Linked DNA regions of Lonchura striata. The protein of the gene in region 2 interacts with the protein of the main gene of each other region in a pairwise test. Links are inferred from orthologs where the notes say so. Each region holds a gene or a part of one and is shown on either strand. Other genes may lie near its edges.

Region 1 (7,084 bases), on a different chromosome or scaffold from region 2:
CAAAACAGATTAGATGTACAAACACATACTCAGAAGCAAAAAAAGGCCACATCTCCTAGACAAAATGGCTTGGACTTGACACCAAACTTGGTGCTTGGGTTCAAAGGCAGTAGAGGAGCAGCCTCCGGCCTTTTGGTGTCTCTTTGCAAAACAGGAGTCACAGAACTTTGTTTTCTCAGAGGGTAGTTGTGAAGGAAAATGCATTTAAATCTGGAGTACCATTTATTGTGGCAACATGCCAAAACACAGATCTAAAAAGGGTGGGTGAACTTTTTGAAGACTCATCCAATTATTTAGGTATTTAGCAATTGGAATGAAGTAAGCCTTAAGAAAATCAAGTGTAAAGGAAAACAGTTGAAGGAATTTAATTTAAAAAGCAGTTCCTTCTAGACTGCACAAGTTTTACTGTGTTATTATTAGTTCTCCAGTATTTGACTAAATGCATGCTTGAGAAAAGTGCTCTTTTGTGACATACAGAAACTGGAATGAACTTTTAAAACTAAATATAATGTATTTTAGATCTTGTATCTTAGAAAGAACATGAATACTATTACTAGACATTGTATTTTCAAAAATAATTCTGCTGTTGGATGTCATCTGCTATAGAAGTCTAAAGAAGGCTATAGAAGTCCTTATCTAGTTTAAAAAAAAAAAAAAAGGAAGTTGATAAATCATGAAGGAAGGAAATACTGAGATTTAAAACAGCCACAAATTTGTTTTTCTTCAGCTTATCATTTTGAAAACTCAACTGCTGCAATTCTGGATGAGTTGCCAGATTGTTTCCTTCATAATTCTGCCTCTCTCTTATCCGTTCTTTAGGGATCAAAAACAAGCATATTAACTGCAGTCAGTGAACACACAAATCAAACAAACACATTGCCCTAACTTTGGGCTCTGATTAATTCCACTGGTAGCCTCTGACCTTGATTTCCACAATGTCTTGCAGTGCATAAAGAAGCCTGACCTGGTATCAGAAAACTGCAGAGATTTGGTTTGGAAAAAAAATAAAGCCATCCTCATTGCTATTCCCTAAGTCTACATTAAAATCTATAAAACAAAGGGCTGAAATCTGAAGTTTAGGCCTTGGAGCCAGTTTCACAATCTGTTTCCTGTAGCCAGAGTTCATTTGGAGCCAGTGGAAAAAACAGCTTCTAAAAGATAAAAGGCAGTGCTGTGACTTTCAATCAATCTTGGCATTCAGTGTGTGAATACAGCTGTACCAAAGTCTAAAACACCAAAGCTCCAGCTCTGAATCTGGTTCACTCTTCTGATCTTGGATGTATGTTGTCATTGTCAGAGGCACCCAACAACTCATGATGGGAAAAATAAGATCTAGCCAACTTCTGGAGATCAAAATATAGATAGAAATAAAGCAAACAGATGTGACATGCCCATTCATGGGAAAATGGGAGACCATAATGAGTGACAACAGAATGGGATGGGAAGCTGAACTGGTAGCTAATGTAAAAAACAGAAGAAACAAACAAAAAAAATCCCTTCAACAACATAAAAAGCACTGGAAGAACGATTTTCTTTGAACCCATCAGTTATGGTGGGTGGAGGCCTCAAGTGCTTAGAGAAGTCAAGACTCATATTTATTACAGGTAGTGCTGATTTCAGCAGATGCATTGTTCACGAGGGTGCCAAAGGCCTGGAGGAAGCAGCTGCATGAAGCAGTCCAGGCCTGTCCACCCTCCTGAACAATGGCAATGCAGCCTCCTTGCAGAAAGGATTTTATGGGAAAAAAAAAGACCAGTCTTCCTTCAAAGGTACAGGTAAATGCACGTTTTAAAGAAACTGTTCCAGAAGAAAAAGTGATGGCGGATAAAGAAATCAGATTCTGTACAAAGAAGAAAGCTGAAGATGAATGGTGTTGGTGAACCTGCCCAGGCTCTGTTCCTAGACTCAGAAGTGGTTTCTGTGTCTTTCTGTGGCATAAGAGAATCTCATTCTGCATTTAACTTCAGTTTTGACATCCGAATTTTAGAGTGGGAAATGTGTACATGAGAAGTTAAAAATAATTATGCAAGCCCCTATGTAGGCCCAATGTCCTGTTTCTAATTTACTCCCAAGTATTCTTTTGCCTTTCTGTACACTCAAAATTTTAGTGCTTCAATGTGACAGCTGCAAACAGTTCTGCACTTGTTTTCTTCTCCTCTTCACTGCCAAGAGGTGAACTGGATCAAGGAACTGACTTAGCTGAAAATATAAATTTATCAACAGCAGCTTTTTTCTTTTTTTTTTGCCTCTGCAGGAAAAGCAAGGCAAGCAGCAATACCAGCCTCTTTAGTGGCAAATTACACTTAATCACAGAACGGCTGAGTTTGGCAGGGACTTCTGGAGATCCTCTGGTCCAAACCCCCCCCTCCTCAAGCAGGACCACCCGGAGACAGCTACCCAGGTTGCCCCGTGTCCAGGCAGCTTTTGAGCATCCCCAAGGATAGCAAGTCCACAACCTCCCTGGGCAACCCGTGCCAGCGCTTGGTCACCCCCACAGTAAAAAACGTGCTTCCTGATGTTCAGAGGGAAGCTCCTGTGTTTCAGTTTGAGTCCTTCGCCTCTGATACCGGCACTGAGCACCACCGAGAACATCCTGGCTCCATCCTCACTGCACCTTCCTTCTAGGCACAAATAAATGTCCGGATATATGCGCGGCCAAGATTCCCCCCGAGCCTTCTCTTCTCCAGGTTCATCAGATCCTGCACAACTGGGATTTAAAAAAATCCCCTGGGATTAATCTGGATAAAAACACCGCTGAACTGTGGCTCAATGTGAATATTACGGGGATTTCCCCGCCCCTCCCATCTCTCCTCCATCCCAAGTGTGACGGGATGCGTTTCGCTAGCACCGACGGTCCTTCCGCTCCCGCTGACGCGCTCGCTTAGGACACATCCCAGGACTGCTTCACCCCCGGCTGCCGCCAGCCATCGGCGCTCCATAGCCTGCTGCGATAGACCGCAGAACCCCCCAGGCCCGCACCAAACAGGACGGCGGGAATACCGTGCGTGCATCCCAGCGAGCGAGCCACCTCCGGCGGGATCCCGGCCGCGCGCCGCGCTGCCTGCCGGGACACGTGGTCTTCCCGCGCGAGGGCCACAGGACGGCCCTTTGGCCGGACTACATATCCCAGCAGCCCCCTGGAACGGCCGCTCCCCGCCGCAATTGGGCCCCCCGGCCGCGACGCTGAAAGGCGATTGGCTGAGCGGCGTGTCCGTCATGCGGGTTCCCCGTGCTGGGCGGGGCTCTCTCCCCCAACCCCGAGCGAGGGGACTGCCGGGGGTCGGTGGCGGCCCCGGCGGGGCGGGCTGAGGGGCCGCCCCGAGAGAGGCAGGGCTGGGGCCGCCCCTTCCCTCCATGCCCGGGGCAGGGAGGAGGAGCCGCCGGCGCCGTGGGGTGGTGGCCGCCCCTCTCCCGGTCGGGAAAGGCGAAGCCCCAGCGGCTCCGCTGGCTCGGCAGCCCCGGCGCGGGAGGGCGGCGGCGGCTGTCGGGGGCACCGGCCCGCGCTGCCCCCCATGCGGCGCGGGCAGCGGGCTCTGCGCTCGCCGCGGCCGCGCTCGTCGTCGTCTGTGTGGGCGGGCTGGCGGCTGCCGGGAGCCCGCCATGGGGCGGCCGCGCCGGGGCTGCTGAGCGGGAGGAGGCGGCGGCTGCGGCGGGGGAGCAGCGGCCGAGCGGCCCCATGGAGGAGCGGGAGGGCGAGGTGCGCTGGGACGGGCTGTGCAGCCGGGACGCCGCCGCCCGCGGTGCCGCCCTGGACACCATCGGGCAAGCCGTGCTCCGCCGCGCAGAGAGCATCGCCTCCGGGGCGGCCGCCCGCGACGGGCTGGGCGAGGCGCTGGCCCGCCTGCTCATGCTGTCCAAGAGGTGCCCCTTCCCCGACGTGAGGGAGAAGAGCGAGGCGATCCTCGGCGGGGTGCAGGTGAGCGCGGCTGACCACCCCTTCGGCTTTGGGACCGGGCGGGGGCTCTCCCGGCCCCGTCCCGCGCAGGGCGCCTTCGGGTTACACCTGTGCGACGAGGGGGGCGGCTGATCCACCCTGTCAGGTTTATTCCTGCAATTAATACTTGCTAAGTGCTCCCCACCCCTACGGCTCTCTCCCCAGAGAAACATTTGGAAAAGCGTTGTTGAAAGGCGGCGGGGGGAGGGGGTGGAATATCTTACTGAAGACACTTGAAAAACACTTGGATGCGTTCCTGTGTCACCTGCTCTAGGTGACCCTGCCTTGGCAGTGAGGTTGGACTGGATGATCTCCAGAGGTCCCTTCCAACCCTAACTATTCTGTGAAAAAGCACGAAGTCTTTCAGTGGAATCCACCAGAGAGGACTTGGCAATGAATGGCTGGAAAGTTGGGGCATCCCCAAGGAAGCACTAAAATGACAACTTTAACACTCTAGTTTCAGTCTGTATAAGTGCTGTGGTATTACCCGGTTAACTTTAAACGAAAAGCAGGAAGGATTTGGGTACTGATATTAGTGTTGCCAATTGAAAATATAAATGGGAAGTTTTGGAGCTTTTAAAAGCCATATGAGCTTGTTGTTAAGGCAGAGCCCATCAGAATGCCCTTCTTGTTGTTTATTGGTAAATAGTTTCTCCACTGGCATCAATATGATCCAAATTATTTTTTTTTCATAGCTCATATGCAGCCTAGCCAATAGAGGAATACATTTACTGACCTAATGCTAACAAAAATAAATGTTACTTTGTACTCTTCCACTCTTACAGTCTAATTATAGTTACTTGCATTGCGATTGTCTTGCTCACCTCTGGTTTTTGCTCAGGTCTTGGAGTTCTTGTATCAACGGGTCCAACAGCACTGGCTAAAGATATTACTTTTAACTGAAGAATAGGAAAAGGAAATTCAGCTATTTCTTTTAATCACAAATGAATAGAGAGCTGTGCATGGAGATAGCTGCCTGATTGTCACTACTGTGCTTTTTCTGCCTGAACTTTAACAGGTTGAATATAGGGGAATCCAGGGAAACATAATAACAATATATGAAAGTACTATAGGTATAATAATTTATACATTATATGCATAAATATGTATAATATAAAACCCATTATATGTTATCATATATATAGAAACACATTCTGGGTTTGAGTTATTGGAGCTGAAAGAGTCTCTGTTTATTTTGTCTAACTTCTCAGTACTGTGCAGTGTGATTAATACAGTGTAACTTATTTTACCCAGTTTAGGCTGTGTGTGCAGTTTTTCTCAAAGCTGATGGTTTCATGTGGTCTAAGTGGAAAGCTTGACAGCTTTTCTTTAAAAACCAAAGCCAGTGAAACAAACAACCACCCCAAACTTGAATACTGAGTTGAAAACTTTAATCTGGCATTTTCCCTGTTAACTGTTCATATGAGAAGTGAGTCTGTTACCAGTGAGAATGATGAGTTACTGCAACAGACTGCTAAGGGAAGACTTGTTTTTGTCAGGTTCAAGATATCAGAATCTATTCCAAAAACAAACAGATGGTGATCTCTCGCCTAAATTTTGGGGTGAGGTCAGAATACAGGACTGGATGACTCCCTTTTAAGTTTTTATGCATTTGAAGTTAGTGGCATGTTCAACTATTAGTGTGGTTTAGAAACTTTGTGACTAGTTTTTTTTTTTTATAACTAGGGCAAAAAGTTCTGGCAGAAAATGTCCATCTTCATACAGCAAATGCAAGTTCAAATGCCGTGATCCTTGCTGCTTTGATTAATAAACCATAGGTTTGAAAGGTTTAATAGCTGTGAAACCAATTGTATACACACAAGGTGCAGTAAAAGTTTTCCAGCAAGTTAAGCAAAATAAAATAAAATAGAATATTATTTTAAGAAAATTTTTAAAAGCTGCTTTTGTAAATTTTCCTTTTCAGAAGCATAGATCTGAGAGGAGTATTCTGTATTTCATGAATTTAAGAGTGGCAAATCTTAGTTCTTGTGTCTGTACTCATAAGTGAAAATTTTCATTGTAATCTTTGGATCCACATTTGTTGGAGAAATAATCCAGTGCAAGTGTTCTGTTTTGGGTGCTAAGGACTATTGTCAGGCATGAAATGGTTTTCGGTTGATTAATGACCAAGAATAATATTGTTCAAATCCCTGCAGTGAAGATGGCAGATAGAGCAAACTATTAAATTAAATATTATCACCACACAGAACTTTCAGCAGTGCTTCCAAAGGTTAGTAACATAAAAATGTGCAATCCCATTCAGAATAGCATCAACACTTGTGTTACGTTATCTCCCTGTTTTGGAATCTGAAGTCCACACCAATATGTACAATTATGCTGTCTAAAGTTATTAAATGATATAGAGCCTAGGGCAGGAGGGGCAACTTCAAACCCAGAAGTTCTCCTGTGAACTGGGGCTCCCCTCATTCTCTCTCTTCTGGAATGGTCCATCCTAGACTAGAACTCTGAGACTGTACTCATATATTTCTTTTTATTCCTGCCCACCCCAGCTGCCTCAATATGGAGAACTGCAAAATGTACTTTATTTATCTTTCAGATTTGCTTCCAGCATAAATCAGTGATGAAATCAAATATTAGATTTTTCCCTGTGGTCTGATTGCTATTTCTTCCTTTGAGTTAGTGCCCTCTTGCCTGTTGGGGCCGTCAGCAAATATTTAGGCATGAGTGACTGGTGCTCCTGGTGGTTTTGCAGCTTTGTGTCTGGAGCAGGTTGGTAGAGTGCATTATATGGCTGGTGTAGGCTGCAGGCTTGGCAGCAGCCTGTGTCAGCATGGCATCCCTCTAAGTCTGCCTTTGTTATGTTTTGGGGTTTTTTCCCCCGGATAAAAATTCCTGTGATATATGGTGGAATGCTAAGTGTGCAGCTTTCTTATTTGCTATTAATAAATAGCATTAATAATGATATTATTAATAAATAATATTGCTTGTATTACAATCTATAGAATTAATTATAAATTCCTGTTGATTTGAATTATGTTTGGGATAATGAGTTTTCTCATTGTAGGCTATATGTCTATATATGAATAATAACATATACTTTTTTTACCTGAGAGAATACATGTGTTTTCCCATTTAGAATAAATGACTTTTTTTGTAAGGGTTATTATAAAGACAGTGTCAACAAATTAG
Region 2 (7,558 bases):
CAACAGCACTGGACCACCTATCTTCATTTCACCCTCCAATGGGAAACAAGTCTCTTTTCCCAAAATTTAACTTACTCTGAGCTGACAAGTACTAACTGAAAACAGTCTCCAGGACAACAGTGACACTTCAGCCACAACACAAGTTTTCTGAGGCACACCCAGCACCCCAAAGCTGGCAGTGTGTCTTCACATCACTCGAATTCTGCTGCTACAGAACCTACACAACACAGTCCCGCTGGTGGCACTCTGTGTGTCAGACATACTATCACACAAAAGGAAAAAAAAGGGAAAAAGGATACAAAGGCAATTCAGAGGGAATTCCATTCCACCTTGCAGGTTTCACTTTATCTGTCAGGTACTCCATGTGATTACTATAGTTATATTTATTGCTGGATACCCATGGATATGCATTTAATATAACAATTAACTACTTTATGACAACTACATTGAAATAATGGCAGGGAAATGAGCTACCAAAACGATGCAAGTGAAAATGAAAAGCAGAGCTTTGGTACAACAAAACTGGAAGAATATTCTCAGCTACAAAATTTGACTTCTCTGAGTTTTATCACAGTTTGGGCCTTATTTTAAACAAACTAACTGTCTGAAAGTAAGTGGTTTTAAAATGCTGTTCACGTATGCACCTTTCTCTTGCTCCTTGGCATACTTCCTGCCCTTTCCTCTTCAGGATCTTGGGAATGTGAAGAGGCTGAAGCCTGTACATGCCTGGCTTTGAAGTATCTGACTTCCTGCCTAAGCATATTTACACCCCTGCTACTTGCCAGACTGTACATCACCTGTGCCAGCTTCATCGCCTGTCATAAAATGGGTGGCTGGAATAACCAGCCAGTGCAGCTGTTTGCCTGGAGATGAGCAGAAACATGCCCTTCAGAAACCAAGCTCCAGAAAACAAAGCAATGACACTAAGAGCAGAAGAAATACAGAATAAGGAATCACTACCTCTTCCTACTGCAGTCTTCCTCAGCTGTTACAAATTAGTTTATTGCCTCACCCCAAATTCCTGTTTTCCTCCAAGCTCAGCTGTCTCAAGAAAGACTTTTTGACAAGGCTCACTTTTTGACGTGTTAACTTTGACACTAACCAGAAGGAAACAAGCACTTAACAAGCAATGGTAAGAAAGAGCTCCATGTTAATAAAAACAGCAACAAAACTGAAGCAACTGACAATGGATATGTGAGGACAAGGCTCCATCCTGGGAGATGGAGCTCAGTGTGAACAGAACCCAGACATGCAGGAGGGAGAGCGAGTCACTGCGAGGGACACAAGCACTGCCTCACCTTCCTCTTGTCCAATGAGGGTATGGCTACCCCATTGGAGCGGTTAAGGTCTGACACCAGCACCTTCAGAATGTTCTGAATCTACAGGAAGCGAAAGAAAAGGGGAAAGAGAAATGGCTCAGAGAAGGACAGAGAGAAAACATCAATCCAAGGCAGCCAAGGAACCATCCTCATCCAGCTCGTGGGAACCACACGCCTCAGCCCAGCAGCTCCGGGCACACCCAGGGCACCACTGGACAGCCTCCAATGCCAGCTGCACCTTCCAGAGCAGGCACCTCATACAGCACCTACACCACTCAGCTCTTACCCCAGCACAACCACTTCCAGCTCCGGTCAGACTGTCCAGAAAACTGAAGAAGAGGGAGGTGGCAAATGATTTCGCAGAAAGAGACACTCACATTCTCTGGAGGCTGCTGGTCATCAGTGGTGGGAGTGGCAGGTCTGCTGCCTTCTTTAGTTTTGCGTTTTTTCTTAGTTCCTGCAGTGGCTCCAGGGCTGTTCTTCTGCTGATATTCCTTCAGCTGTGAACAGAAGAAGACAAATCTGAAGTCCAAACAATATATGCCTTCTATAACCTCAAAGACCCCTCAAAACTAACTTCACTGGTAAAAATACAGATCAAGTGTAAGGACAAGGGGAATGCTCTTCCATTAATTTATCGATATGGGATAAAAACGGGAATCAAAATAAGCCCAGAGAAGGCTAAAGTTAAGACCAAAGTGATGGGTTTATGACAAGAGTTGTAAACATTCAACTTTTGTTTACAGCCAATGCTGTTCCTGGGAAATTGTTTCACACTCTACAGTACAACTAAAAGGAGATTGAAAGCACTGGTTTGCGGGATTTCAAGGTTATAAGTAAGAGCAATGAGGCAAAAGTAATAAAGGGCAATTAATCCTACATGCAAAGTGAGAAAGCACTGCCTGATAGTAGTATTTTCCACTCCACGGAAGATTTTATGAAGGACAGTTGCAATCCCCACAGCAGACACTGCAACAACTGCAAGCTAAGGGGAGAAACAATCTACAAATGATTTTTAATCGCATCCACTTCGCCCAGGAAGTGCCGGTCTGATAAGATGTAACTCGAATCCCTCCAGGTCTGCCGGCATTTCTGTGCAATTCCTGCACGCCCGAGCCCCAGAGCCGGCAGCTGTTTATGCAAACAACGGCACCCCCGGCCCGCACACCCCGGGCAGGCACGGCGGGGCAGCGGGGCACGGAGAAGGACGGAGGAGGATCCCATTATTGGTAGGATTTCAAAATGGAAGCCTGAACTGCTCCAGGACACTTTCCCGTTTCCGTGACTTTGACACAGAAGCGCATCCCGCCGGGACGCAGGCAGCCGGGCCGCCCCGAGGGAAAAAATACGGGGAAAAAGGAAGGCGGGGGGGACAACGACACCCGCACAGCAGCCCGGGGAACCCTGGCAGCACCGCAGCCACCCAGGCCCGGCCTCGCCCCGGCCGCCCGCCGAGAAGGCCGGGCCGCAGCCCCGGAGAGCCGCAGCCTCCCGGGCCCGAAGCGAGGGGGCGGCCCGGCCCGGCCCGCGGGGAGGCCGCGCTCGGCTCGGCCCGGCCCGGCCCGCGCGGGGCCCGCGGAGCGCAGCCGCCCCCGCTCCGTCACGTCGTGCCCCGTCCCGCCCGGACCGCCGGCCCCTCACCTTCTTCTTGGCCGCGGCCAACCGGCTCTGCCTGCTGCCGTCCGCCATGTCCGCCCCGCGCCCCGGCCACGTCAGCCCGCCAGCAGCGGCGGCGGCTCCGCCCCCGGCCGGCCCCGCTCCGCCCCGGGACACCCCGGGGTGACACGCGGGGCAGCCCGGCCCCGCCGGGACAGCCCGGCCCCGGGACACCGCGGGACACCGCGGGACACCGCGCTCCCCGTGTGACACCGGGCTCTGCCCCGCTGCTGTAGCGACCCGGCAGCCCAGCGCAAATGCCGGGAGGGGCAGCCCGGCTCCCCTCGCTGTCCCGCCCTTGGTGTCCGAGGCTGATCCCGCGCGCAGGGCAGGCGGCAGGGTCGTTCTGTGTGATCCCAAATCCTTTGACCTTCCAAGCGCGGCAGCAGCTGAGGCTCGGGCAGCTCCGGCTCTGGGACACGGCGCTGACAGGGACACGCTCCCTGCGGCAGGACGGGGCCTCCAGCGCTGTCCGAGCCTCTGTGCGGGACTCGGGGGGAGCTGAGGGGCCCGGTGGGACACAGGGACAAGCGGGGGAGTGGGCAGTGCTCACCTTGCGAAAACAACATCGCAGCGGTGGCTACGGGCAAACACTGGACATGGCACCCAGGGCCGTGTCTGGTTGGCATGATGGTGTTCCATCACATGAGTGATTTTTCGAACTCGAGGTCTTTTCGAACCAGATTGATTCAATGATTCTCGAAATCTCCTGAGCCCCCGTCCCAGCTGAGGCACGGTGCTGAGATGTCTCTGAAGGACCAAATGTCACCACCTCGCCTGCGGCCCTCGGGGGACAATTGTGTCCTGCCACACCCAATGTCACCTGCAGCCCCACCACGGTCGGGCCCGGCAGGGGACTACAACTCCCGGCGTTCTCTGTGGCGAGGGGACTACAACTCCCGGCGTTCTCTGTGGCGAGGGGACTACAACTCCCGGCGTTCTCTGTGGCGGGGGGACTACAACTCCCGGCGTTCTCTGTGGCGAGGGGACTCCCCCTCTCCGGTGTGGCGGGAGCTCCGAGCCTGCAGCGGGAGCCCTCAGCCCTGGCCGAGCGGGTCCCGCCGGCCGCGGGCCGCAGCCCGCCCCGCCGCCCGCCGCCGCGGGCCCTTCCCAGGAGGTAGGAGCCGTTCCCCGCTGCCCCCCCTCCCGGGCCGCGTCCCCGCCGCGGCGGGTGCCGGTACCGGCCCCTGACGCGGCGCCCTCTGCTTTGCCAGGGCCGGCGGCCGGCGGGGCGGCACGGCCGGATTCAGGGCACCGGTGAGTCCTGCGCGGGCTGCCCCGGGGAACGAGTCCCCTCGTTGGCGGGGCTCGGCCCTGCCCGGTGGGGAGGGCTTTCCCTTGAGGGTTCCCCGGGTTAGCGCCAGCACTGCAGTTTGCACTGTGTCGTGCTGGGAGTTTCTCCTAAAAGGCACATTGTGATTTTAATTCTTTTGTTTTAATATTTTTTTAATATATTTTATTTGAATTATTTATTTTCACTTTACAGTGTAGCTCTCGAAAGTGTGGTTAGATGTGGTATGGAGCACACTAGTGTTATGTACACTAATGCACATTTTATTTGAACCCCCCTCCCCGCCCACCCTGGGGATATTTTTTTCCTTTTCTCCTGTTTTATCAAGTGACATGTACGCTATTTTCACATTAGTGCTGCAGCATTGTAACATCTTACCCAGAGCTGAGTTCCTGCTACGTGTCTTCTGTGTTCTACAGATCCCATCTCCAAAGTCCTTCCAGCTTAATGGAGCCAGCGAAGAAGCCCTGCAGTGTGAAATCAAAGAGCTGAAACAGAAAAACCTTGCTCTAGACCAGGAAATTGCACAATTATTGTCAGAGTACGTCCTTGGCAAGCTCAGTGTTTACTTGATGCCTTAATTATTTTTGTTTTTAAAATAGAATGTGATCCAGGAATTGGAGCTGAGAGCTGACCTTCTGTGATGCTGTTGTTGGTATGGTGCAATGTTGGTTACAGTGTTGTAAGTGATGGGACTTGTTAGAGACAAGAGGGAATTCTTTCCACTTTGTGTGGTAAAGCAAAACAAGTTTTACTGGGAGCTTGCATAAGAGGATTTTTGTTTTAGCCTGGGTGTTCCTGAGGTAATTATGTGTTTACTGGGAACAGATAATTTTAGCCACTTGTTATTTGTTGTGTTAGACTTATATTTTCTAAGGTAAATGTGGTGCATAGGATGGAAATGGTAGAACAACAAAGGCTGTTCCAGAACTCTTTTTTATTTATCCTCAAGGGTAAACAAACCTAGCAACAGAACAAGAGGAAATGGCCTCAGGCTATGCCAGGGGAACTCCAGGTTGGACATCAGGAGGAATTTCTTTGCTGAAAGGGTGATTAAACATTGGGCTGGGCTGGCAGGGAGGTGATGGAGTCACAATCCCTGGAGGTATTCAAGAGATGACTGGATATGGCACGAAGTGTTCTGGTTTAGTCAGTATGGTGGTGCTTAGCCAAAGGTTGGACTTGATGCTCTTGAGGGTCTTTTCCATCCTAAATGATTCTACGATTCTTAATTTTTTCCCTATATACAGATTAGAGATACGTATCAAAGGAATTCACCACAGCCTACTCTTGTTTCTACTTGATTCTGAGAACTTGGGTGCATTGGCTTTCTTGAGCTTGTGTAGATCTTCATGTTTAGGACTTGCAGGAACTGCACTCTGTTGTGTTGAGTCTGCTTTTGAGGTTCCAGGCTTGGTGTCCCCCACAGCAGCAGGAAATCCCAGTCCCCCTGTGTCATTTCTGACCTTCCTGGTGTTATTTTACAGGGGCTACAGCCTGGAGGAACTGGACAAGCACATCTCTCTGCTCCATGAATACAATGAAATCAAAGATGCTGGGCAAATGCTCCTGGGCAAGCTAGGTAAGAAAGGGAAAGCTGTTCAAGACCTTTTTAGTCAGTGTTTTCATACAGAAAGAAGCTGCTACTATGGAAGCAAAGCTTGTGTTACAATTCTTCACTTTTAAAAAAGTGTTTGGGTATGCAGGAGGCATAGCTGCAAAACCTTGGGTTTCTTGGCTATAGGATGTGCTATGGGATAATTAGGGAAAGAAAACACCACGTTTCTGACTCCCATGATCTTTGTTTAATGAAAGCAATGCTGTTTTTTTATTTCCTAGCTGTTATCCGAGGGGTCACTACAAAACAGCTCTATCCTGAGTATGACCTGGAACTCAGTGACTAGTCCTGAACCTGGAAGCTGCCATGTCATGCAAAAGTGACTGTCACTGTGCCATTACACATTGGTGTCATCCTGGTTTAGGAGAGACAGAAAGGAACCTTTGGAAAAGGGATGTAGGATTTTAGATAATTTCATGTACTACTTGATCAACAGGTTTTTTTTTTAAGGTTGTAGTTCAGGTTGATGTTGAGCCTCTTCCATGGACCCTTTGATTCCCTACAGTATCCAGGGGCTGTTTGTTTACTGAATGGATAGAGGAAGTGAGGGCATACAAATGTGCAATGTAATAGCTGCTTTGAAAGTAAAACCCTCAGAAGAAAGGAGGGAAGAAGGCAGAAATTGTGGTGGTTTGGGGGTTTCTTTTGTTTTATCAACAAATCCAGAGAAGTCTGGGTGTTCTGCATTTTTGTACTTACCTGCTCTGGTATCTGGAGGTTTTGTATCATTTCTGTAGTAAATGGCAAAATGTAAAGTTGTGTTGACTGTTCACTCTGAATAAAGCAGCCTTCACATTTGTCAGTAAATCACTTTAAGAGCCTATAAAACAGTGCATGAACCTGGGAAAAAATTCTAAAACTATATTGAGACATGAACTATTCAAATGTTTTCTCCAGGAATGTGCAGGTGCAGAATCACTTTGCTCTAACTGCAGAGTCATGGTGGGAGTGAGTGCTGTGCTGGACATTGCATGATGATGTTGGGAGCACGAGTGTTTCAATGTCACTGATAGGGCTGAGGGTGACTGCACAGACTAAATTTGGCTGCTTTGGGCACTTGGAAGTGATGAAGTGCTCTGCTGACTGCAGATCTATTGTCCCTTTTTCACTCAGACTTGATGTCCTTCTGCCCATTTTTACTTACAAAGACCTTCCAGCCAGTAAGTTTCCCCTGTGGTCTCCAGTTAGGCCCATGCTGCAGTCTGCTTGTTCCTTCCAAATTTGAATCAAATTAATCTATCTTCATTGTGATTGGAAGCCTGAAACCAGTCACAAGGCTGCTGCTGAGAACAGATAATTGGTTTTACACTCCTGGCTCTGGATGTGGCACAGATACATCACTAATAGTGTCTTGTTTTGCCTTAAAATCTGTGGGGAGTGGCCTCAAGCAGGGGGACGGAAAGAGCCTGTATATTCCATGATTCATCTAAGTAAGTTTCTGTTGATGTGCAGCTGTGCAGAATATTTCCTGTGCCCAGACCAGAGTGGATACTCAGAGGACACGTTCACACCCCTCCCCAACACATACCCCTCTGCCAAGTGTGGAACACTCATGTGTTTTGGAGTAGTTTTAAGGGGAGGAAAAAAGGCACAAGGTGGCAAGAACTAGGAAATGCAAACTCTGTTACTAAAGTTGCTGTTTTGGCTGGTATTTCCTGTCTGTGTACAAGGACT
Region 3 (7,508 bases), on a different chromosome or scaffold from region 2:
CTGATCCCCACCATTTCCCACCTGTGTGAGTGGGAGCTGCTCTGTTGTCCCCATCCTCAGAGGTTCTGAAGGGTGGTTTCTCACAGCCACCCCAGAAAACTCCAGTTAGGTTGCCATGCACTGCCCTCTAATGCCATTTCGGCATATTAGCACCCCTCACCCTCAGAGGAGATCTGCAACATAAAACAAATCATCCACATCCACCAAAAACTGCTATCAATGCTTTAGGGAAATGAGACATAAATGAGACATTTAATGGCTGCTTTTTCCCCATCCCAGCACTGCTTTATTTTACACATTCTTAAAGATCACCATCAGGGAGAAAAATGAGAACTCCCTATTTACCTTTTCTGGGCCATTTTGGGTGCTTGATGCTTCCAAGGTCCCCTTCAGCTGCCTGTTTTCACCCAGCACATCTGATTTCTTTATTTTTTACTGCACTGCTGCTTCTTGGAGAGGATGAGATACCCAGGAGTGCAGGTGGCCACTCAAACGTTCATGTGCGTGTTGGATTTATGAGGATACGTTCTCCTTTTTTAAGATTTTAATGCTTCCCAGCAGCCTGTTTGCTTTCCTGCTTCCTTCCTTCACTAAATAGGCATTTCAGGAAAATGGTCCACAATGAATGCAGCATCTCTTTCCTTAATGGAAGCAGCTGATTTAGAGCTGCTGCTGTGTGTGTTTTGTTAGTGCTATTTTGTCTTGTGTGCATTGCTTTGCATTCATTAACAGTGGGCCCCATCTGCTATCTCATCACTGAGCCAGTGCCACGCTATCCTTCTGCAACTTCTTGCTTACAGCTTTTGGCTGATTACTCTGAAAAAAATTGGGATTTGCAGCAGATTTCACCACCTTGGCTGTACACCTTTTCCAGGTGGGCTGTTGGTACAATGAGCAGTTCCAACCAAGGCTGGTGGCTCTTCTCACAGTGGGAAAATCAGTTTATTCACAGCTTTTTGGATCTCCCTATAATTCCTCTCCTCTCCTCTCCTCTCCTCTCCTCTCCTCTCCTCTCCTCTCCTCTCCTCTCCTCTCCTCTCCTCTCCTCTCCTCTCCTCTCCTCTCCTCTCCTCTCCTCTCCTCTCCTCTCCTCTCCTCTCTCCTCTCCTAGTTCAGGAGACCCAGCTGCATCAAACTCATCTCAAAACAATGAGAAAATTGTGAAGCTGGGAGAAAAGGGCTACAAGAAAACATAAAGACAGAGCGACATGAGATTAGAAAGGCAGGTAGAACTGGTGACTCAGCAATCACAAGTGAGATTCAAGAAGAAAAGCACCAGCATAGAAAGGTTTGAAATACGAATGGGAAAATAAAGTAGCTGGAAGATCACGCTTCAACATTTATGAGGGTCTGTAGGAGGCAGAGAGCTGGCCAGTGCTCCCCCACCTTTGCAGATGAAAAGGAGATTTCAGCCACAATTAACCCACCTGCAAGATCTGCAATGCTGGGGATGAGCTCACATATTTCTCCTCCATTTCCAGTCTGTCTGGGACCTTGGCAGCAGGGTGAGGTTTCTTTATCTCCCCAAATTTAATGAGAAGGATTTTCTTGGCTCTTCTGCTTCTAAGTGGGCGTGTACAAATACACTGTGGCTATTATCACAGTGATGGATCAGTTTTGATCCATGCCTACTGCAGTTTCCAGGCTTAACCAAGAGCTGCTTCTCTCCTTGTGAGTTATCTGATTTATGGCTTTAATAGGTAGTTATTTACAGGTCTGATAATTCAGCCTTTACCCTCCCTGTTATGACTTGTTCTGAGGAGGAACCAAAATCTCCCGTTGCTCTCGTGTTTTCCACCTCTGCAGACTCTAATCTCCTTTGAGTTTCTCCCAGTGTCTGTCATGCTGTGATATTGCTCTGACATCTCAATCCACAGGGATTTTTTTCTGTACCTTTTGATGCAATTAATTATTTGATTCCTTCCTTTAACATAGGATACATGGTTCTTTTCTCAGTGGGACTCTTAGGCTGTAAAAGTAGTCCCTTGCTGATTTTATTTTTCTTCCACAAGGTTACAGATGTGTGAATTATATCAATCCTTCCTTTAAAAAATGCAGGCATTGCTAACGCAAAAACCTCAGGAAGATGCTTGGGAGATCCTCTATAAATAAAGTGAAGACAATTTCTTTTTATATTTAAGGAACTTTCACTGTCATGATGAAAATAGACATATATGTAAATGTATTTAGAAGTACTGCGTTAATAGAAAGCAGCATAAGTAGGAGAGGAAGTAGTAGCTTTATTTTATTTATTTTTTCAGCTAACCACAGGGAAATAAACTGCACAGTAGCACAGTCAGAAGCAATGCTGGAGATAAAGACTTTCTGATTAATACAGAGATAGTGCTTGTAATATTTTGAGGTTGAGGTGCCAGGTCTATTTGCTTCAGGGCTGGCGTTTGGCTTTGCAGACAGTCTTGCATGTTCATTTGCTCATCATGTGGTGCAAGTGGCCATAATTCTTAGAAAACTCAGCTCATCTATTTCACATGCTTGGTATGAGCTGGAGACACACCAGTGCAGCGTAAGTAAAAAAGAAAATCCTTTTTTGCCTCTGTCAAAGAGAAGATATTAAATAATTAGTGCAGGATATTGGGCTGGGAAATTGGTATGGTTGGGTAAATTCCAGGTTCAGACAGATGCAGAATTTTAAGGTTTTTAGAAAACAAAGATTGTTTTGGCAGACCAAACAAGTCCACTTCAGGCCCAAATGACATAATGCAGCAAGACCTTCTAATAGCCAAATATTTTGCAATATTTGCAATTACCCAGTGACCTCAGTGACAGTGATGGCACAGCAAAATGACAGCAAACATGCTGGAATAACAGACAGAATTGTTTGAAATTGATGAAGAATAAGTCCTCTGTTCTCGTAACTTTCTCAGTGCTGCCAGAGTCTTCATGAAGAATTTCATGTAATTGTCTCCATTTTCCTGCCCAAAATCTCAGATGCCCTTGGTAGGTAACTAGAAATACTGAACAGCCATGGAGACTGGTTACTCACTGTATAAACTACCACAGATTACTTAAGGAGTTAGAAACACGGTATGGAAAATTGTAACAGAACATCCAGAGCAAACAGTGTTGGGGGTAAATCCAGCCCCTTGGGATGTGCCGTGCCACCCTCCCACTGATTTATTAAAAAAATATGGATATTGATCTAGTACCAATATCCAGCTGTGATGGACAAAAACTCTCAAACAGCTTAAAGTTAGAAAGTGTGTGTTTATTCTACACTGGGATAGCTCCCAAATCCACACCGCAGCTTCCAAGTGATTACAGAGTCTTTTTATCCATACAAGTATTGAATACCCAAAATAAAAATCCATATTCATCATTTTGGTATATCCTATTCCTCTTTTCATATGCTAATCACTCCAAAAGCTGTTAAGCATGCGTGGTTTGTTCCTTGAAATGGGTCGGTGTCCCTTCCATGGGGAGGGGTCCCAAAATGAGGAAGTAAATGAAGTTTTTTCCTCCTTCTGACCTTTCTATCTTTTCAATGCAAATATGACAAATGAACTCTTGGTAGAACTCGCATTCCTTGCCTTCAATTGGTTTCAGAACAGAGGAGCCCCACAATAGTCTTATGTTCCTAAAAGCTATTTTCAGTTTCTATATTCTTCATTATAAACCCAGCTAACTAAACATTGTGCTGACAAACAATCAATTATTAGTTAACTACTAACTCCTAATCAAGGCCTACTCATTTATTTTAATTAACTCTAGTAAGGCTTATCTCTGTGAAAAACGCATATTTATGATTGGCTTTTTCAAATATTACAATAAATATTATATGTGTAATGTTAGGAAGTTATGCTGTATTAATTCTCTTCAGTAGTGTGCAAAATATAGTTTTAGGTTCCAACATAATGTTAAAATAGAGACTATGTACGTGGGGGAAGGTTTTTTAGGAATGAGATACTCGCTTCAAGGAGCACCTAAATCTTCCAAAGGAGAGGAATTTATGGCTTCTTATCAGAAGAAACTAATTTATTCAGGCCTTGCACAGATTTGAAGACACCATGCGGATTAAAGGAACAGTTGATATACAAGAGAGTTCTTGTTTTAAATAGAATGTATGCATAACCATGAAGGATGTATGAATATGCAACAAGTGTATAGGTTTAATGTTATTCCTTTATTCACAAGGGATGCTTTTTGTGATTTAGTGTCCAAGAGTGTCCGAGTGCTTTTTATTGCCTTGTAATTGCCCTAACTCTAAACTTTATTACTCTAATTGCATGATTATTTTTATAACCATTTTATCAGCATTAAACTTTTTAACATTTTAAAACCCAGGTGATTGGCAAGTTTTTCACACCTCTGACTAAAACCTTCGCTGCTCTAAAATCTCGAAATCCCCTCACGTTTCCGTCCCGCCGGCCGAGGGGCGCTGCCGCTCCCTCCTCCCGCCGCCGGGGGGCGCCGGCGCGGCGGCGGCGCGGGGCGCAGTGCGCAGGCGCGGCCCTTCCCGGCGGGCTCAGCGCCGGCTGATGGCGGCGGCGGCGGCGGCGGCGCCGGGACGGGTGAGGGCGGCTCCGGGCCCGGCCGTGTGGGGAGGCGGCTCTGAGCCCTGCTGGGTGTGGGCAGGCAGGGGAAGGCAGGGTAGGGCGGGTGTGCCACGCTCAGCGGCTTCCCAGGGGGCTCCCGGCCTGTGCGGAGTGTGTGTGTGTGGGGGGGGGGTGTCAGGGCCTGCTTCGCCCCCGCTGTTCCCAGATCGCTGCCCACCTTTCCTTTTACTGTGGGGACAGCTCCTGTGACTCGCTGCCTCGTCCCTTCCCCGCGGTGACAGCGCCAGCCCTGCGTCCAGCCAGCTGTCCAGGGTCTGAGCAGGAATGGCTGGGGGGGCTCAGCCTGGAGAAAAGGAGGCTCAGGGGGGAATTTCTCGCTCTCCACAACTCCCTGATAGGGGGGACAGCCGGGTGGGGGTCGGGCTTTGCTCGCACGTAACAAGCGGCAGGACAATAGGAAATGGCATCAAGCTGCGCCAGGCGGGGTTCAGGCTGGATATTAGGAAGAATTTCTTGTCAGAAAAGGTACTTAAGTGTTGGAATAAACTGCCCAGGGAGGTGCTGAAGTCCCCATCCCTGGAGGTGTCCAAGGGAAAAATAGATGCGGCACTGAGTGCTCTGGTCTGGGTGACAAGCTGATCTTCAGTCACAGGTTGGATGATTTCAGAGATTTTTTTTTCCACATTGACTGATTCTGTGATTCCCCAGAATCATGCTGTCTCCTCACTCCCCAGCTGCCAAAATCCCACTGCTCTGTGGCAGGTGGAAATTGCTACAACACCCTGTCCTCATCCTGTGCATCTGTGCCTTTATAACCCCTGCTGTGTTTCATCCCGAGGCCAGATGTTTAATAGTCTTCAAAACCTCCTTTTTCTTTTTGCAGTAAACTTCTTGCTGTTGAGCCCTAATTGTTCATATTCCACTGCAGGATTGAATTAATTCTTGAACAGTTTTCATCACTTTTCAAATTGTTACTTTTGTACAGCATTGCTCTAGTTATGTGTATTTACTACTCACCAGAAAGAAGTGCATTTTCTCTGGCTTTAGGAAAAGTGAAATAAAAGGTGGTGTACCCATGTATGAAACTGTTAGCAAATAACCTGGAATTTGGCTTGTAGTGTCATCTAGAGTTTTTTTTTTCTTTTATTTTGTCTTTCAGTTTTAAATTGAAGAGAAAATGTCACTTTACGATGACTTGGGGGTTGAGACCAGCGATTCTAAAACAGAAGGCTGGTCCAAGAATTTCAAACTGCTGCAGTCGCAGTTGCAGGTGAAGAAAGCAGCTCTCACACAAGCAAAGGTATAGTCCCTTTGTGATTTTTCTTTCTGTTTTTCGTGTTCAGTGCATTGTGTTTGTGACCTCAGAATTTGCTGACATTTGTCTGTGAGTTTGTAGCAGAGAGCCTGACAAAGCTGAAGGGGAAAAAGGAAAAACGTGTATTTCTTGATGTCTCTTAGAGGGGGTGTTGCAAAATTAAAACTGAAGGAAGCACTGATGTATGTGCTGCAAACCTCTGAACTTTTAACAGCAGAGCCAAAAGCTGATCTTCAAGTTTAGCTTTAAAGATAATGAGATTCAGCTTTATAAAAATTTTTTTAATGTAAGTAGGGGTCACACTGTGATTATTTACATGTTTACATCATTTTATGGTTGTTATTGAAAAGCATCTTGGTGCTAACCTGCAAATCATTATGTATTAGAAATTTTACACCAAGTATTTCCAGAGTAGGTGAAAAGGAGGAGTGCAAGCTGATTTTTGTTAGACTGTGACAGAGCCATTTTCTCTTTTTATTGCTTCTTCTTTTCATTTCACCCTTATTCTTTCAGCAGTGTTGATATTTTGATTCAGGCAGGACACAGGTGCTCTTTGAGGCACTGTAGGTTCTGTAGTGAGGTTACTTAATTAAAGGAAGAAGCAGTAGCACTGATGCCAGATACTTGAGTAGCCACAGCATTTTTTTCACTGTAATTACTCGTTATTTATGCTGCAGAAATTGGAAGCAGGATTTAGTTGATAATGGGAACAAACTTCATGGAAGAAATTTACTGACTGCTGTATTAGTTATATTCTTTTTCCATGTACCCGATGTGCAGTGTATCCATAGCCTAACAGAAGAATAAGATAGGATTAGAAAACTCAGTTCAGAAGAGTTTAAAATATTTTATCTGATGATAGATGGGAAGAACAGTAGATCTTTGGAATAAATCTGAGTTTCTTAGAAACTAACTCAGTTCAAACTCACCTGAAGTGATTGGATGAATTTTCCATGTGTGTTTCTGGTCCCAGTGAAAACTTAGGACCATCCACCTGCCACAGCAAAGTCTATCAAGTAAGCCAATTTTTAGAAAACTGCTTTATCTTTTTTAGACATTGTGTGTTTTGTTGATTTTTGCAGAGTCAGAGGACAAAACAAACCACAGTTCTTGCTCCAGTGATTGACCTGAAACGAGGCAGCTCCTCTGATGAGAGACAGATTGTGGACACACCCCCTCATGTAGCAGCTGGGCTAAAGGTAAGACCAGGACAGCTAAAATTTCCAAATGTTTTGGAAGTTGAATGCTTCCTAGTGGTCAAAAAACTGATTATTTTCTGAGAATATCTTCCTCTGCTGAGAGTTCTTTAATTAACATTTCAACATCATTCAGACTTACATGTGCTACAGCATGGAATCACCATAGTTAATGTGCAGTTACAAAACAGTGTTCTTAAAATCCTGGACATCTTCAAATTATTTGGCAAGACAGCAATTTGGGCAGCTAAATAATGACTATAATTGTGTTGGCACCAGTGTTGGAACTGGAAGTGTATAACAATCAACTGAAAAATAAAACAACTAAAGCCTCTAACCTTTTAAATTGATTTCTCATGGTAAGAAATCAAGATAAACTCTCTGCAGCTTTTTCAGAGGAAAAGTTCTGAATGGTTCTTTTAGATTAGAGGAGAACAGTCTGTGTGCTGTGTGCCTCTGTTGGTATTATATTAATAGCAGCTG

What was found. The genes of interacting proteins can lie anywhere in the genome.
Region 1: the proteins of GOLGA2 (region 2) and CEP57L1 interact in binary tests that used the Homo sapiens proteins (3 or more experiments, as listed by UniProt). The two-hybrid records come from large-scale screens. The link is inferred for Lonchura striata from reciprocal best matches to the Homo sapiens genes GOLGA2 and CEP57L1.
Region 3: the proteins of GOLGA2 (region 2) and RBM17 interact in binary tests that used the Homo sapiens proteins (3 or more experiments, as listed by UniProt). The two-hybrid records come from large-scale screens. The link is inferred for Lonchura striata from reciprocal best matches to the Homo sapiens genes GOLGA2 and RBM17.

What each region holds. Positions count from the first base shown.
Region 1 is NC_134605.1:69,473,715-69,480,798, forward strand, and holds the start of CEP57L1 (centrosomal protein CEP57L1), read right to left. Parts: upstream 3,050-7,084; 5' UTR 2,980-3,049; intron 1-2,979. Other genes in the region: SESN1 (sestrin-1), read left to right, coding at 3,677-3,916. UniProt on the Homo sapiens protein: Centrosomal protein which may be required for microtubule attachment to centrosomes.
Region 2 is NC_134624.1:593,137-600,694, forward strand, and holds the start of GOLGA2 (golgin subfamily A member 2), read right to left. Parts: upstream 3,068-7,558; 5' UTR 3,009-3,067; coding exon 2,961-3,008; intron 1,820-2,960; coding exon 1,697-1,819; intron 1,380-1,696; coding exon 1,299-1,379; intron 1-1,298. Other genes in the region: DNA repair protein SWI5 homolog, read left to right, coding at 4,521-4,807, 5,754-5,848, 6,106-6,170. UniProt on the Homo sapiens protein: Peripheral membrane component of the cis-Golgi stack that acts as a membrane skeleton that maintains the structure of the Golgi apparatus, and as a vesicle thether that facilitates vesicle fusion to the Golgi membrane.
Region 3 is NC_134607.1:69,612,613-69,620,120, reverse strand, and holds the start of RBM17 (splicing factor 45), read left to right. Parts: upstream 1-4,459; 5' UTR 4,460-4,529; intron 4,530-5,673; 5' UTR 5,674-5,691; coding exon 5,692-5,814; intron 5,815-6,911; coding exon 6,912-7,028; intron 7,029-7,508. UniProt on the Homo sapiens protein: Splice factor that binds to the single-stranded 3'AG at the exon/intron border and promotes its utilization in the second catalytic step. Involved in the regulation of alternative splicing and the utilization of cryptic splice sites.